Linked DNA regions of Mus musculus. The protein of the gene in region 1 purifies or fractionates together with the protein of each later gene. This does not show direct contact. Links are inferred from orthologs where the notes say so. Each region holds a gene or a part of one and is shown in the gene's direction. Other genes may lie near its edges.

Region 1 (6,946 bases):
TTAGCAAAATATAAGAGTTTAAATAGATAATTGCATTTGTCAAAGGCGGCTAAATGAGTCCTGTAGAGATGCAGTTTAGGTGCGCCTCTAAAAGCCTCATTAGATAAGAATGCTAAAAAATGGAAAGTTCCTGCTAACTTTAAGGCAACTTGCTTGGGAGAGGTTCTCTCTCTCTCTCTCTCTTCCCACTTTCCCATTTCCCCTTTCCCCTTCCCTCTTCCCTCTCCAGTACTCTCTTTCTCCCATCTCCCCTTCTCTCTCTCTCTGCTTGGAAGAGTCTTCTTTATGGAAGGAGCTCCAAGTAAGGGCTAGGGATTTTTCTCTTTGACTTACAGGAAAACAGAGACACAGCTGGCAGGACACAGGTAAAACAATATTCTAGGAAAGAGAGCTAAGAAGCCCTCTCCGGTTTGGAGGAGCTCAAGAGAAAAGTAGACTAGCTCTGTAGATTGACTCAGAAAGAAATTTATTTTTTTAAAAAGAGATTTATTTATCTAAGTACACTGTAGCTAAAAGAGGTTTATTTATTATTATATCTAAGTACACTGTAGCGGTCTTCAGGCAGCACCAGAAGAGGGCATTAGATCTCATTACAGGTAGTTGAGAGACACCATGTGGCTGCAGGGATTTGAACTCAGGACCTCTAGGAAGATCAGTCAGTGCTCTTAACCACTGAGCCATCTCTCCAGCCCCAGAAAGAAATTTCTAAAGAGCTAGCAGTTTAGTTGTGGAATCAGGCTTGTAAATAGATATTTTGTATGTAGTTAAGAAAAAAAAGAAAAGAAAAGAAAGTTGCCTTGCTGAGCTAGCAGGTCTTTACCATAGTTTAAGCCTCTGGTACTTTATTGGTATAAAGATTAGATAATTTAATCAGTTACAGTTGGTTCTCTCCTTACACTGGATAGGTCCTGGGAGTCAAACTCCCAAGTTCCTCGGGCTTGGTGGCAAATGACCTTACCACTGAGCCATCTTGTCTGCCTGTATTGTACCACTTTTCACAGCCATCCCTGGCATTCTAGTCTTTTCTATTTGAAACAAAGTAGCCTGGATCAAATTTGCCAGTCTTGTCCCCTGCCTGCTGAAATACAGGTATGCATCATCACATTCAAATAAGGGCGGCTTTTTAATTTGTGTGTGTGTGTGTGTGTGTGTGTGTGTGTGTGTGTGTGAGAGAGAGAGAGAGAGAGAGAGAGAGAGAGAGAGATTCTGTGTACGTGCATAGGCCAGAGGTCAATATGTTCCGTCTTCCTCTATGACTCTCCACCTTTTTTTTTTTTTTTTTTTTTTTTTTTTTTGAGACAAGGTTCCTCACTGAACTCTGATACTGCAAGAGCAGCTGGCCTGTGAGCTCCAGGCTCTTCCTGTCTCTCTCTCCTTAGTATGAAGAGGACAAGCAAGCACACCACTCCAGTTCCTTAAACTTTCCCAGGGATCTGTCTATCTCCTCAGCAGGACTGAATGGCACTTCTGAGAAATCTGCTTTGCGGAGTTGTTCAGACAAGTCTGTCTAGTGCAGGGCAGTGGGGCAGGGAAGTCCAACGTCTCCCGCGGTGGAGACACTTGCCTGCTTTGTTTCCCGAACTCTCCTCTCCTCTTGACTGTAAAATGAGGAGAGGAGCCCCCGGGCTCTTGGGCCAGAGAGAATGTGGTACTACAGAGTGAACTCTGCATCCCACAGACGCAGAGAAAGGAATTAGTGTGGATCGCCTGGGTTTAGCTTGAGCACTGCAGCGGGGACCCATCTTGGGGGGCGGGGGGGAGTTACGAGTTCCTCTCATAATGGGCCGAATAATTTTGTGCCTCTTAAGGCTCTTAAGACTCGGAATGTTTGCTTAAAGAGGAGCTGAGGCAGACTCTGCCTTCGAAAATAAAAGGGCGCTCGGGATGCTCTGGCAAATATCCTCAGGACTTGGGGGAAGGGTGGGGAGAAGGGAGGAAGGAGGAGAGGGCTAGCCTTCTAGAAGGCGGGAGTAAAGAGTAAGGTGCTTAGGACCCATTGGAGGCAACTGAGACCTAGGTTAGGAAAGATTGCCTTCAGGGGCTGCAACCCTGGTGATGTTGTAACCGGCTTTGGCTTGAGCTAACTTCAGCTCCACCCCTCCCACTGTGCCGTCAAGTTGACTGGGCGTTTCCATCTTGGCCCCCTGAAGCTGTCGCAGTCACCACCCTGCCGGCAGCCCCGGGTCACCTCTCTGGCTCACTCTTCCGGGCTCCAAGGCCTGGGTGGGGCGACCGAGCCACAAGTGCGGCGGCGATCAGCTGTGAGTCCCCGGTGGCTGAGCCAGGCCGCCCCCCTCTCTACCTGGGACTTTCTTCCGGCCAGAGCTCCACAAAGATCTCGCTGTCCTCCAACTTCCAATCGCCTTCCCCACCTTCTTCCCCGCCCCACCTGGCCCTGGCGTGGACCCTGGGTGTCTCCTCCCCTTCCCACTTCCAGCTCCTTCTACGGAGTTTGATTTGAACTTTCGAACCCGCCAATCATCGGCTTCGCTGCGGCCCGGGGCGGGGTCCGGTGTCCGCCCTCCCGACGCGTGGCCCGGCCAGGGTATATAAGCCCTGTCCTGGAGGCGGACCTTACACAGCTTCTCCCCCGGACTCCTTGGTAGTCTGTTAGTGGGAGATCTTCGTCACCCTTTTTCACTTCCTCAGTTTTCGCGGACCACTTCAAGGACTAAATATGGTGAGTATGGCTTTGGGGTAGCGGCGAGGTCGTCTGAAGGGACCGCGGGAGCTGAGGGCTGCCCGGGAGACGATACCTGCAATAGCCCCACGACGGCCGCCTCCAGTTAGACTGGCTTCTGGCGTTTGGGGTGTGAGAGCCTAGTCCACTAAACTAGTGTCGCTTTGGGCTGGAGGGCTCGTCCCGATCCTCTGTCTCGATCCTCCTGGGAGAGCATCCCGTCTCGGCCGCCGGTCGCTCCCGGAAAGGCAGGGAACTTTCACAATGATCACGAGAGTTTGGAGAAACTCAAAGGTCTCCATTTTCCTCAAATGATGTCGCTCTCCCAGCTGGGATAGCCCAGAGGACCTCGTGCGCTCTGGACAGGACTGAGCAAATACTTCCGGGCACCGTCTCCACGCCCTGTGACTCGCTGCTGAGTCACCTGTGGCCAGTCCCCGGCCCTTCCAGCTGCAGCTGTGCACCTGAGAAGGCGAGCTCCTCCGTAGGAGGGAATAATTGGCGTCAGATCCCCTAAGCCAGCCTAGTTTTTAGTGTTACTTCAACGGCATATTTATATTTAGCCCAGTTAAGAAAAAATGTCCGTAAAAAATTTTTTTTTCAATTTAAAGCTAGAGTAAACTACCAACAGCGGGTTTTTTTCTCTCCCTTCCCCTCTCCCCCCCCTCTCTCTCTCTCCTTCCTTCCTTCCTTCCTTCCTTCCTTCCTTCCTTCCTTCCTTCCTTCGATAAAGGGTTTCTTTGTAGCTCTGGCTGTAATAGAACTCACCCTGTAGACCAGGATGGTCTGGAACTCAGAGCTCTGCCTGCCTCTGCTACCTGAGCTGAGATGAAAGGCAAACCACTTGGCTTGCACTTTGGTTTTTGAGTGTCTTATGCTCATGCCAGTCTTGAAATCATTATGTGGCCAAACATGACCTTCAACTAAAACCAAGATCCTTCTGTCTCCACTACCCAAGAGCTAGGGTTATTCACCTGGTTAACAATGTATTAGTTCAGTTTTCAAGAAAAAAATGGGTGAGGCTATCAAACCCTGGGCTCTGGAGGCAGCGGCAGGAGTATCTTCTGAGTTCTGGTCAGCCAGCACAATGAGACCCGGTCTCAAAAGCAAACAAAGTTACCAGGAACTCAGCCCGGCTTGGAGGAGAGTGGCTAGTTCTCTAGACTTTGGAGGCTGAGACAGGGAGGGGGATTGCTCATCATGAGTTTGGGGCTCCTTAGTCCCTAGTGAGTCCCAGGCTAGAGCGGGCTACAGAGTGAATAATTTCGGTAAAAGGAACCTCCCTGCTAAATAAGTTTTAACTATTTGAGAGACCATTTACCTAGCCTGCACCTGGTCAGCTGACAATAGAAATTTAAAAGAAAGGCTGGAGAGATGGCTCAGCTAAGAGCACCAACTGCTCTTCCAAAGGTTCTGAATTCAAATCCCAGCAACCACATGGTGGCTCACAACCATCCTTAATGAGATCTGATGCCCTCTTCTGGTGTGTCTGAAGATAGCTACAGTGTACTTACATATAAGAAATAAATCTAAAAAAAAAAAATTTTTTTTTTTTTAAAGAAAACCCCATCCCAGTATTGTTTAAGGTCTATGGAAGCTTTGGGGAAGTGAGGTGCACAGCCCTCAGGTAGCGCAAGCTGCCTCTGTCTATAGTCCTGGGTGACCCTTGAACTGCTGGTCGCCTCCTTCCCACACTAGGACTGGGATTACTGGCCCGAGCCACCATTTTGTGTGGTGCTGGGATGGAACACAGAACTTCACATAGTTAGGCAAGACCTCTCTCATCTGAGCTAACTCTCCAGCCCCCAAAGCTGTTGGCTTCTTTGTTTTATTCACTTGTGTGGAGTGTACGTTTGGATAGTTGGTATGCTTGGGGGTGGGGGCAGGAGAGGGCAGCTTTCCTTGCAGTTCCGAGATCAGGCTCACTAGTAGGCTCTTTTCCCAGGCTATCCTACAGCCCTCCCACACCCCAGGAAACTTTCAGAATTGTATTCTGAAAGAGGGATGCCGTAACAGCTTTTGATCAAGCAAACCCACAAAGATACAGTTCAGAAAAGCCCCAGGCTCACCTATTAGGCAAGCATGGCTTAAGTGTCTGGCTTTGCTACACCAGCAAGCCTCTTAATCCAGTCGAGGCTAGACTAAGTGATTCATCTGTTCCTCTTGGCTTTGGCTTCTTAGCTTCCAGGAGACAGGCTTGTTTGTAAAGATTTTACATTTCTCATGTGGATGTATGTCTGCCACGCATGCCTGTGTGGAGACTCAGGTCTTTTGGATTGAACTCATTATCTGGCTTGGCGGAAATTGACCTTCATGTGCTATCTTGCCTGCACAAAGAAGCTGTTTAGCACCAAAAGGCTACTGTTGAAATGCCACCTTAGAATCTATGGCCTCCGACGCCGCACTTCCTTAGGCCTGCCTGTGGTTCTTTCTAGCTTCTGGGGACTGGAGGCTCTAAAGTCCAGGTGAAGGTCACTTGAACCAGAGCTGCACCTCCCCCACAGTCCTCCGCACAGGAGACGCTGATCTCACTGATGTGGTCCAAGCCCTTGATTGTCTTGTGGGAAACACGGGTGGAAGGACGAGACTAGTCAAAGGTTGTGAGCAATGTTTTGTTTTACTATTGAGGCCTGAGAAGCTGCTCTTTAGAGACCCTGGATGTTGAATTGAGTTTCCTGCTCATGACCTTAAAAGCATGAAAGTCTTTACTAAAGGAAAAGCATAGCAACTGTGGGAGACTTCTTTGTCAAATGTGAAGGTTTTCTGCCAAATTCAAGGTCCTCATCTCATACAGATTTATGATGAACACTGGCTCCCTCTGAATCCTGTGGGTTCAGCATAGGCACTTATTGTCTCATTGGACCAATAGGAAATGGGTTTGGTAACTTCAGAGCGACTATTGAGCAAGGAAAGGAAAACAAGGGTGTCCCCCTGACCACCATGGTTAGAATCTTGTACTTTTCCACAGTGCCAGAAATGTACACTCTGATCTATCTACTAGGGAGCCACTAATTACTCCTTTCTTCTTGGCACTCTCCAGCCCCATTTCTTAAACTTTTGTGAAGTTTTAGGAGTCTTCTGATCTTTAAAACATCCCACCAGATGGATTAACAGTGAGACCGGGAAGGAAAACTGTTCTTGCAGATTAGAGTCTTCACTGGGTGCAAGGCTGCCTCTGGCCACTCTTAGCATACCACTATCTGCTTATCTAGCCTTTTTTTTTTTTTTTTTTTTTTTTTGTGAGTCATGGGGGCTAGTTTGAGCTGGTTTTAAAGGGAAGAGGAAGTTTTGTCCCCATAAAGGAACCGCAGTGAGCTCAGATGGGACAGTCAGCTTGACTCAGCCCTGGCAGGGAAAGGTTCTGCCTCAAGTGCAAGGACTAAGAGCTGGGGAATTCTGGCATAATCCTGAATGTCTTTCTAAAGCAGTAGAAAACTGATCCTGAACTGCCAAGGATACAATCTGTTGAATGGCCTGGCCTTGCCTAGTAGGTCATTAGCCTTAATGCCTTCAGAGGACTTTTTTTCTTGGGTTAGCTCTTCAGTAAAAATTCTTGGTTTTGAAGTATAGTCCTAGGCAGGAGTGGCCTCTGAAAAGTGATCCTATCTTTGAGCCATGCCCCAAGGTCTCGTGTGTCACATTCTCACACGTTCTTCCCTCTTTCCACAGCGTGAGTGCATCTCCATCCACGTTGGCCAGGCTGGTGTCCAGATCGGCAATGCCTGCTGGGAGCTCTACTGCCTGGAACATGGCATCCAGCCTGATGGCCAGATGCCAAGTGACAAGACCATTGGGGGAGGAGATGACTCCTTCAACACCTTCTTCAGTGAGACAGGAGCTGGCAAGCATGTGCCCCGGGCAGTGTTCGTAGACCTGGAACCCACGGTCATCGGTAAGCTGGCTGGGGGCTTCCCCAGGCATTCCTTCTTGGTCACATACTCAGAATCTCTCTCCAGACCCAGAAGGGTGAGTGAGCTTGTGTGTGTCCTCGGTGGCCGATGGCTGATGTCTTCTCCCTTTGCAGATGAAGTTCGCACCGGCACCTACCGCCAGCTCTTCCATCCTGAGCAGCTCATCACAGGCAAGGAGGATGCTGCCAATAACTATGCCCGTGGCCACTACACCATTGGCAAGGAGATCATTGACCTTGTCCTGGACAGGATTCGCAAGCTGGTAAGAGCAGTGGGTTATGCGGTGTGTTCTAACCAGGGTTAGGGGTCTTATATGTATTCAGTGAGACCAGCAAGCTTCACAGTCCCCTAATAC
Region 2 (7,227 bases), on another chromosome or scaffold:
TATTCCTTAGTCCAATCCAACTGTGGTTGTCTTGTTACATTTCTACAGGGCCCCAGCACAACCTTTATCTTCCAGATACACCTGACGTTTGTACACATGAAAGGCCTCAGATTTGGTTTAGACTGTCCAACAAGTGGGTATTTTAGAACTGGCCAAGTGATGATGTTTGCAGACCGGCAAAGGCAGGGTAGGGTGATGATTTAACACAGAAACAGACAATGCAGAGTACATACATAGATAGATGACTGATAGAACTCAAAATTCTTCTCAGAAAAATATAAATAAATAAAATGTTACTCACGTATGCCAATGTCCTACCAAAGGTTCAGGAATATCTGCTTACCTCTTTTTATTCTCCTGATTTGACTAACAGTAACTTTCAGGCCACTCTTTGAGAAGCCCTACCCCCATTCTAGAGGAAGTTCTCAGCTTCCCTGCTCTACAGAACCCTCCTCTGTTGTCCCTCTTAATGCTCACATCTAAATCTGTAATAAACCCTGTTCCTCATAAACACTAACTCTGCCACAAGAAACCCAGAATCTATTCCGCAGACCAGTTTACATTCTCCAACAGACCTAAAACCAAAATACAAGCCTAGTCTTTAAATTCTTCTTGCCAGATAGCCAACTGCGAGGTCCACACACTTAAGTGTTCCGACATACACTTCAACAGCTTTAACTTCAAAACCATGTCTGTGTGAGCCACAGCGATGAAGTGCCACAAGGCTTGGTTTTGTTTTCGGTTACCTGTAGTGTTTTAAATTAAGTTGAATGGCCATTACTTAAAGATGAAATGGAACAGATGGTTGCAGACGCCCAGGAAGTCAACTCAACTGAAAAGGGTAAAAGAACTTAATCGAACGTGGCACAGGCATGCTCCCCAAATCTCCGCCTAAGTAGCTCATAAACACACACTCCTTCCCCTGAAAAGGCTTTTTCTTTTAAGGTTAGAAAGCAGCGACCCTTGACTGGTTTCTTCCCCTCCTCCTTTCTTAAGGGAAGCGGTAGGAAGCCAAGACATACGCAAAAAAAAAAAAAAAAAGAGGCCGGAAAATGGAAAGCCAGAAAGCAGGACTGGGCAACCGGGACTTTAAATAACCCCAGAAGTGTTTCCAACTTGGCACACGGGAGGAGGGAGCCGCTGGGCTACCTCTCCGCAACCCCGAGCACCTCCGAAGTTCCTGAGCCGCTCTGGGAGGCGTTCCCAGGGCCAGGGGAGGCGAGGGAGCCGTTCCCGGCCCGCCCCACCCGGGCTCTCCGGGCCCGGCTCGCACTCACCTGGGCCGTAGGCCTGGCTTAGCAGCGCCCGAGCCCGGCCCCACACCGCCCGGACCCCCAAACGACCTCCGAGCCCCTCAGCCCCACGCCTCGGACCCCAGCCCGAGCCCCGGCCGCGGGACGCGCCCCGTCGAGGCTCGCCCATCCAGGGCCCCGCGCGACTCCCGGAGGACCCCCGGCCCGAGCCCCGCCGCCTACCTGTCTTCGCTCTTGTTTTTCTGTTTCTTCCCCATCGCTTGTCAACGGCGCTCGCGGCCCCGGCCCCTCGGTTCGGTGTCTCACAGACCCACTGTCTCCCGGCTGACTCCAATGCCCGCTCGGCTCGGTCCCCCTCGCGCCGCCGCCTCTCGCACCCGGCTCTCCACAGACCCGCGCACTGGGACAGGGCACATATGGTGTGAGCCCTCAGTACGCAAGCGCATCGCCCCGCCGCCTCGGCGTGGGGACGCAGGGCGCGGCTCATCGAGAGCGGCGCTTCGGCTAGAGCGTCTCCAGTAGAGCCGCCGGCCAGGTGGGAACCCAGGCGCCCCCTCGCCGCAAGTGAGCGCCGCGCACCGACGTCCGGCGGATCCCGGGTTCTAGAACCTAGAGGACGACAATGAGGCCGTTCATTTCTCACGTCGGCACCCTTCCCGGGGCTGGCTTTCGACGCAGAAGTGGGACTGAAAATTCTCCCCTGCCTACGCGGCCTCAGCTGCGGGAAGTCCATTACAGGACCACAAAGAGTCAATGATGAGCGTTCTGGGGGTGGCAGGACAAAAAATGGGATCCCTCTCAGAAACACTCATGAATTGTCAACTGTGTACATTTATTAAGGGGAAAAAGACATAAGGACACAGCAACGGGTCCCCTAATATGAATCTTCGTATGAGCAAGTTCTAAAAATTCATGTGCCTAAGAAAGTCAGGAGGGAAGATCCTGGCATGGTGAAAATTTTCTCCATGTTTCGGGGCGATGTTACTAGTGTGAGCTGTGTATAAATTATAATGTACTGTAAGCTACACTTTCGAAACTATTAAACACAACGAGAAATGAAGCCCCTCTGTCACTCAGGCTCAAGACCCGGCTCGTTTCCCGGTAGAGCCGGGACCCGCAGTCAGTGCACAAAGAACTACAATTCCCAACGTGCCTAGCGCCCATCCCTCCGGCCATTAGCCCACGTGAAGCGTAGGCTCGGAAGCCAGTAGTTCCGGGTGGCGGAGGATAGGGCTTCTCCGAGGCTTTCGTCACTCGCCACCGCCCTTTCCGCGAGTGTCTCACATTGTATCGCGAGAGGACTGTAGCCAATGAAGTGGCGGAGTTAACAGCCCCTTCTCTGCCCTTAACAATTGCTGCGAGGTTGAAACCTGTGTGAACCCGGTGGGTATTCTTGATCTGCGGCTTCCTCTCTCCGTAGGCCTCATCAATAGTCCAGGTACGGCTGAGGGTGATGTGGCCGATAGTGCCACAGCGTCCCAGTGTTGATGAAGGACACATCCTCGGCTGGGATCGAGGGAGCGGCTGGGAGGGCCTCGTCTGGGCGGCTGCGGAGGCTACGGCGCATGCGCCCCAGTTAGTGCGAAATCGGGTCCCCCCGGAACTACTCCACCAGTCTCTTGAGCTCAGGGAGTGGCGAAGAGTCTGCTGACAGGTACATGGGGTTAGGGTTTCGGTTAGGAGTTTGTAGGGGAGTACATAGGTGTCAGGGCCCCCAGTTCGTCGGTAAGAATAATACTCGATTTGGTTCAATAAATAGAAAGTTATGTCCTTACCCCCAATATAAAGGCAGTGACCACCTCCGCCTAATTCAGGGCAGCACTTTTAGTCGCGTGAAGCTCCGCATTTAAACGTAAAGGTCTCCTGTGAAATTCTCGGTGATAAACGAATACTGTGATGCAGATTCTGAGTGGCTGGTCTCGGATCCTTCTCTCTCTTCCCCGAGTTAGGGATCCTGGGAGTACAGCTTCTTTTCAGTTGTATAGTATTTATGAGAAGCTGACAGTTGGAGTTTTTAAATGACCTTATGTAGCCCAGGCCTATCGCTCCAAATATGAGGTGTGACCCTTATGCTTCTGCCCTTGAGAGCTGAGGTTGTAATCATGAGCCACCATGCCCAGGCTTATTTTGTGTGTGAGCTGATTAGTTTTAGCTGTCAACTTGATAGAATAATCTACGGTCACCTAGGAAGAAAGACTCATTGAGAAATTGGGTAGATTAGGTTGGCCAGTGGGCATGGCTCAGAGAGTAGGGATTGTCTTGGTTGCATTAATTAATCTACTCCCAGATTAATGTTGTTCTCCAGCAGATGTTGGACACAAGTAGACGTGTGTGTAATTACTTCTCTCTGCTTCAAGAGCCTGCCTTTAGTCGTAGAAGCGATGGGCTGTCACCTGGACTTGTAACGTTTATGTCAGGATATTTTTGAGGAAGTATGCCGAAAAGCAAGCTAGTGTATTTAGGGATTTCCCTGGATTCTGGAACCATAAATGAGATCTTTGATGGTTTACATCTTTATTCTGGTTTTGGCAGGTGTTGGGGCCTACATGCTGAGTTCTAAGGCCAAAATAGTGCCTCCAACATGGCATCTGTTGTGTTAACCTCTCAGGCTCTGTTACAGAGACCCTGTTTTAAAAAAAAAAAAAAAAACAACAAAGCCCCCGAAATGTAAACTTAATACTTATTTTTTATGCCCCCTCCCCCAGCACCAAGACCACTTAGAACAATGGAAGGTAATGGATCCGTCGACATGTTCTCAGAAGTCCTGGAGAACCAGTTCCTCCAGGCCGCTAAGCTGGTGGAGAATCACTTGGACTCTGAAATTCAGAAACTGGATCAGATTGGTGAAGATGAACTGGAGCTGCTCAAAGAAAAGAGGCTGGCGGCGCTCAGGAAGGCTCAGCAGCAGAAACAAGTAACCTCCCGCCCGCCCGCCTGCTCACTGAATCACTGGAGCCCAGCTCCCGACTGCACTGCAGTCATGTGACTTTCCCTCCTCACTTGCAGGATGTTCTGAATTCACATCTCCGTCAATGTTCAATACTTAACCCAGGGATGAAACATTAGGGAAGGTTTAGGCAAGATGAAGCATTTGACTGGGGCGTTGATAGTAAAAGAGAGATGAAACGTCTTCTCATAGACCAAGCTTAGGGTCCACGTATCAGAAAGAAGTATCATGGTTCTGTACGAGAAGATATTTAAGTGTTAGACTCTGCATTTTTATTAGGTTATCTTTTGTGGGGGGGCAGGACAGGAGCAGGATCTCACTGTATAGCCATGACTGGCCTAGAACTCACAGACAACACCGCTTCTGCCTACGAAGTGCTGGAGTTGAGCGCCAGCACCCCTGTTCTGTTTGTGGTTTTCATGGCCACTCAGTGACGTGGTTGGTTTGTCACACTGACTTACAAGAGAGAAGGTGAAGGCTCGGAAGGTTCATTAGAACCCTGGTCAGTTAATGCTGGGGTGGGTGTTGCCACTGCTGCCTGAGGAGGGAGAGTGAGCATCTGTTTGAGGTGTCAAGCTTTCTGCCACAGGAAAGGTAGAAGGGGCTGGAAGAGTTCCCAGGATTGTGGGTAATGGCCCTTCCTCAGCCTGGGAAGCTGAACGTTTCCTTGTGAGGCTTTTCCTTGGCTCTGGACCCCACATGGATATAATACTCTTCCTTCTGAGGACTCTGCCCACTGTTGGCTGGTGTAGAAGCCCTCCCTGTTTTGAGATGGATAGGTTCTTAAGCTCCTGAGCGGTGATGACTGCACTGTCCCCAGGATAGACGGACTTTATTTCTTGAGGTGGTTTGGTTTGTTTAGTTTTTGCTGTGGATAGGACATTGTTTCTAAGTATACCATGCTCAGTCTGTATAATGTTGCTTGTGTGTACATTTTCAAGGCTGACCGTTCGGTAGTGGATAGCCAGTTGGTGTGCTCTCCCTGGAGAACACTCTTTCTCCCACACTCAGCATCCCTTAATTGTCTGTAAGAACATTATTTTCTAAAGTGTAGAGCTCTTCCCTAGCCTGCTCTTCCTGGTTTAGTCCCTCGCATCACAAAATAAACAGAAAAACACTTTTGTAATCATTTGGATCAAACAATCCTGATTTTACTAGTTTAAAGAGCATGCATGTGAAAGTTAAATTGGTATTTTCATGTCATGTCTCTCAGACCTAAATTCTGACTGTGAAACTTAAAATGAAGCAGGTAAATCAATAAGATGCAAAACTGTCTTAATTGAACCATCATAGAGACGGTCACTCCTGCCCACAGACTAGGTCTGCACTAATTGCCACTTCGGCATAGGAAAGCCAACTGCGGATGGGAACACCTGCTATTTATAGAATTGATTCCTTTACAGAAGTACACAGTGATTGAGACATGTAAGACACTTGGTGTCACTGAAACACATTTCAGCTGGGTCTTTTTTGCTTCTCTTGAAATTAGGAGTGGCTTTCCAAAGGGCACGGGGAGTACAGAGAAATCGGCAGCGAGAGAGACTTCTTTCAAGAGGTCAAGGAGAGTGAGAAAGTGGTTTGCCATTTCTACAGAGACACCACATTCAGGTAACCTGGCTCCTGACTTCATCTCTATGGTGATGAGACATTAACGTAGACACACTGCTGACTTGGTAACTGAGAAAATTAAAAGGATAACTGCCATGTTCCTGCGTGGTGATGTGCTCACAGGTGCTTTCATTATTGTAGAGATTTAACTAACAAGCCAGCAATGTGCAAGTAAATAAGTCAGTCTTATTGGAAGTCAGCACTCCTGTGGCTTCTCCATGTAACTCCAAAGACAACCTGAAGTGCATGCGTGTACTTCTTACCAAAACAATCGTTTGATATGCTGTGTTCTCAGGATGCTGGGGATTGGAAGCCAACAGCTTTCCCAGTTGTTTATCCTTCCAGTCTTGGTCCTCTTGGTAAGGAGACAGAGGCTTGACCAAGTCTTCCATCAGAACCGTGGGTGGAACTGTCAGATGTGGAGAGAAGTGATTTCCCTTAAGGCAGCCCAGTCTCTGAGGGCTTAGACAGGGAGAGTAGCGCGCCTCCCCGGGTTATGTTTTTTGAGGGAGCAAGAACTAAGGATTTGTACGTGCTAGGCAACTGTCCTACAACTGAGCTAAAGCCTCAGCCCAAGAGGTTAGGTCTTAAAACAAAGGACTCAATCACACATGAGTGTGTGTGTGTGTGTGTGTGTGTTTCCTTCAGAAAGGGCTAATTGCCAGCCTTTGAAATATGACAACTTAAGAATTAGCCAGATTTCAGATTTTTTATTTTTTTGGTTTTTCGAGACAGGGTTTCTCTGTATAGCCCTGGCTGTCCTTGGAACTCACTTTGTAGACCAGGCTGGCCTCAAATTCAGAAATCCGCCTGCCTCTGCCTCCCGAGTGCTGGGATTAAAGGCGCTCGTCACCACACCCGGCCAGAATTTTTAAAAATTAGAAAAGTTGATCATAACAGATTTAGAATCATAATAGCAATTTTCTGGTGCCGCCTCTCTTAGGTGGACATGCAGGGTAACTGACTCACCCACTGTACCTCAGCCCTGCCTTCTTTCTCTCTCCTGTAGCCTACCTGGCCCTCAGCTTAGCCTCAGAGCCAACCACTTCCGTATAACACCTTTCAGAGACTGAATGCCTTGGATTCATTCTCTCAGGTGATGAAAGCAGATACTGAGAACTAGAAAGGCAGAAGGCATGGAACCTTCTTCCCTTCCTTAAGTCCCAGCCTGCCACACTGGGGTAGAGCGAGCTACTGACACCAGCAGATAAGACCGATGCTGCGTGCACTTGCTTGTCTTAGTCTTTCTCTGCTAGGTGGTTGCTTTTATGAAAGCAGAGCGTTTGCCATGACTGGCTCTAGAGCAGAAATGCTGACACAGAGTGGAGGTCAAGTAAATATGTCTGATGGAGGAGACAGTGAACCTGAGTGCTCACCTCCAGGCAGATCTGGGAAGCAAAATCAAACCATTCTGTCGGC

The links.
Region 2: the proteins of Tuba1c (region 1) and Txndc9 purify together in Homo sapiens (co-immunoprecipitation; 3 studies listed by BioGRID and IntAct, counting the BioPlex papers as one, with this or other methods). This does not show direct contact. The link is inferred for Mus musculus from reciprocal best matches to the Homo sapiens genes TUBA1C and TXNDC9.

The regions. Positions count from the first base shown.
Region 1 is NC_000081.6:99,027,745-99,034,690, forward strand, and holds the start of Tuba1c (tubulin alpha-1C chain), read left to right. Parts: upstream 1-2,146; 5' UTR 2,147-2,677; coding exon 2,678-2,680; intron 2,681-6,349; coding exon 6,350-6,572; intron 6,573-6,704; coding exon 6,705-6,853; intron 6,854-6,946. UniProt on the Homo sapiens protein: Tubulin is the major constituent of microtubules, a cylinder consisting of laterally associated linear protofilaments composed of alpha- and beta-tubulin heterodimers.
Region 2 is NC_000067.6:37,992,573-37,999,799, reverse strand, and holds the start of Txndc9 (thioredoxin domain-containing protein 9), read left to right. Parts: upstream 1-2,591; 5' UTR 2,592-2,691; exon of another isoform or gene 2,692-2,907; intron 2,908-3,958; 5' UTR 3,959-3,978; coding exon 3,979-4,167; intron 4,168-5,689; coding exon 5,690-5,808; intron 5,809-7,227. Other genes in the region: Eif5b (eukaryotic translation initiation factor 5B), read right to left, coding at 1,476-1,510. UniProt on the Homo sapiens protein: Significantly diminishes the chaperonin TCP1 complex ATPase activity, thus negatively impacts protein folding, including that of actin or tubulin.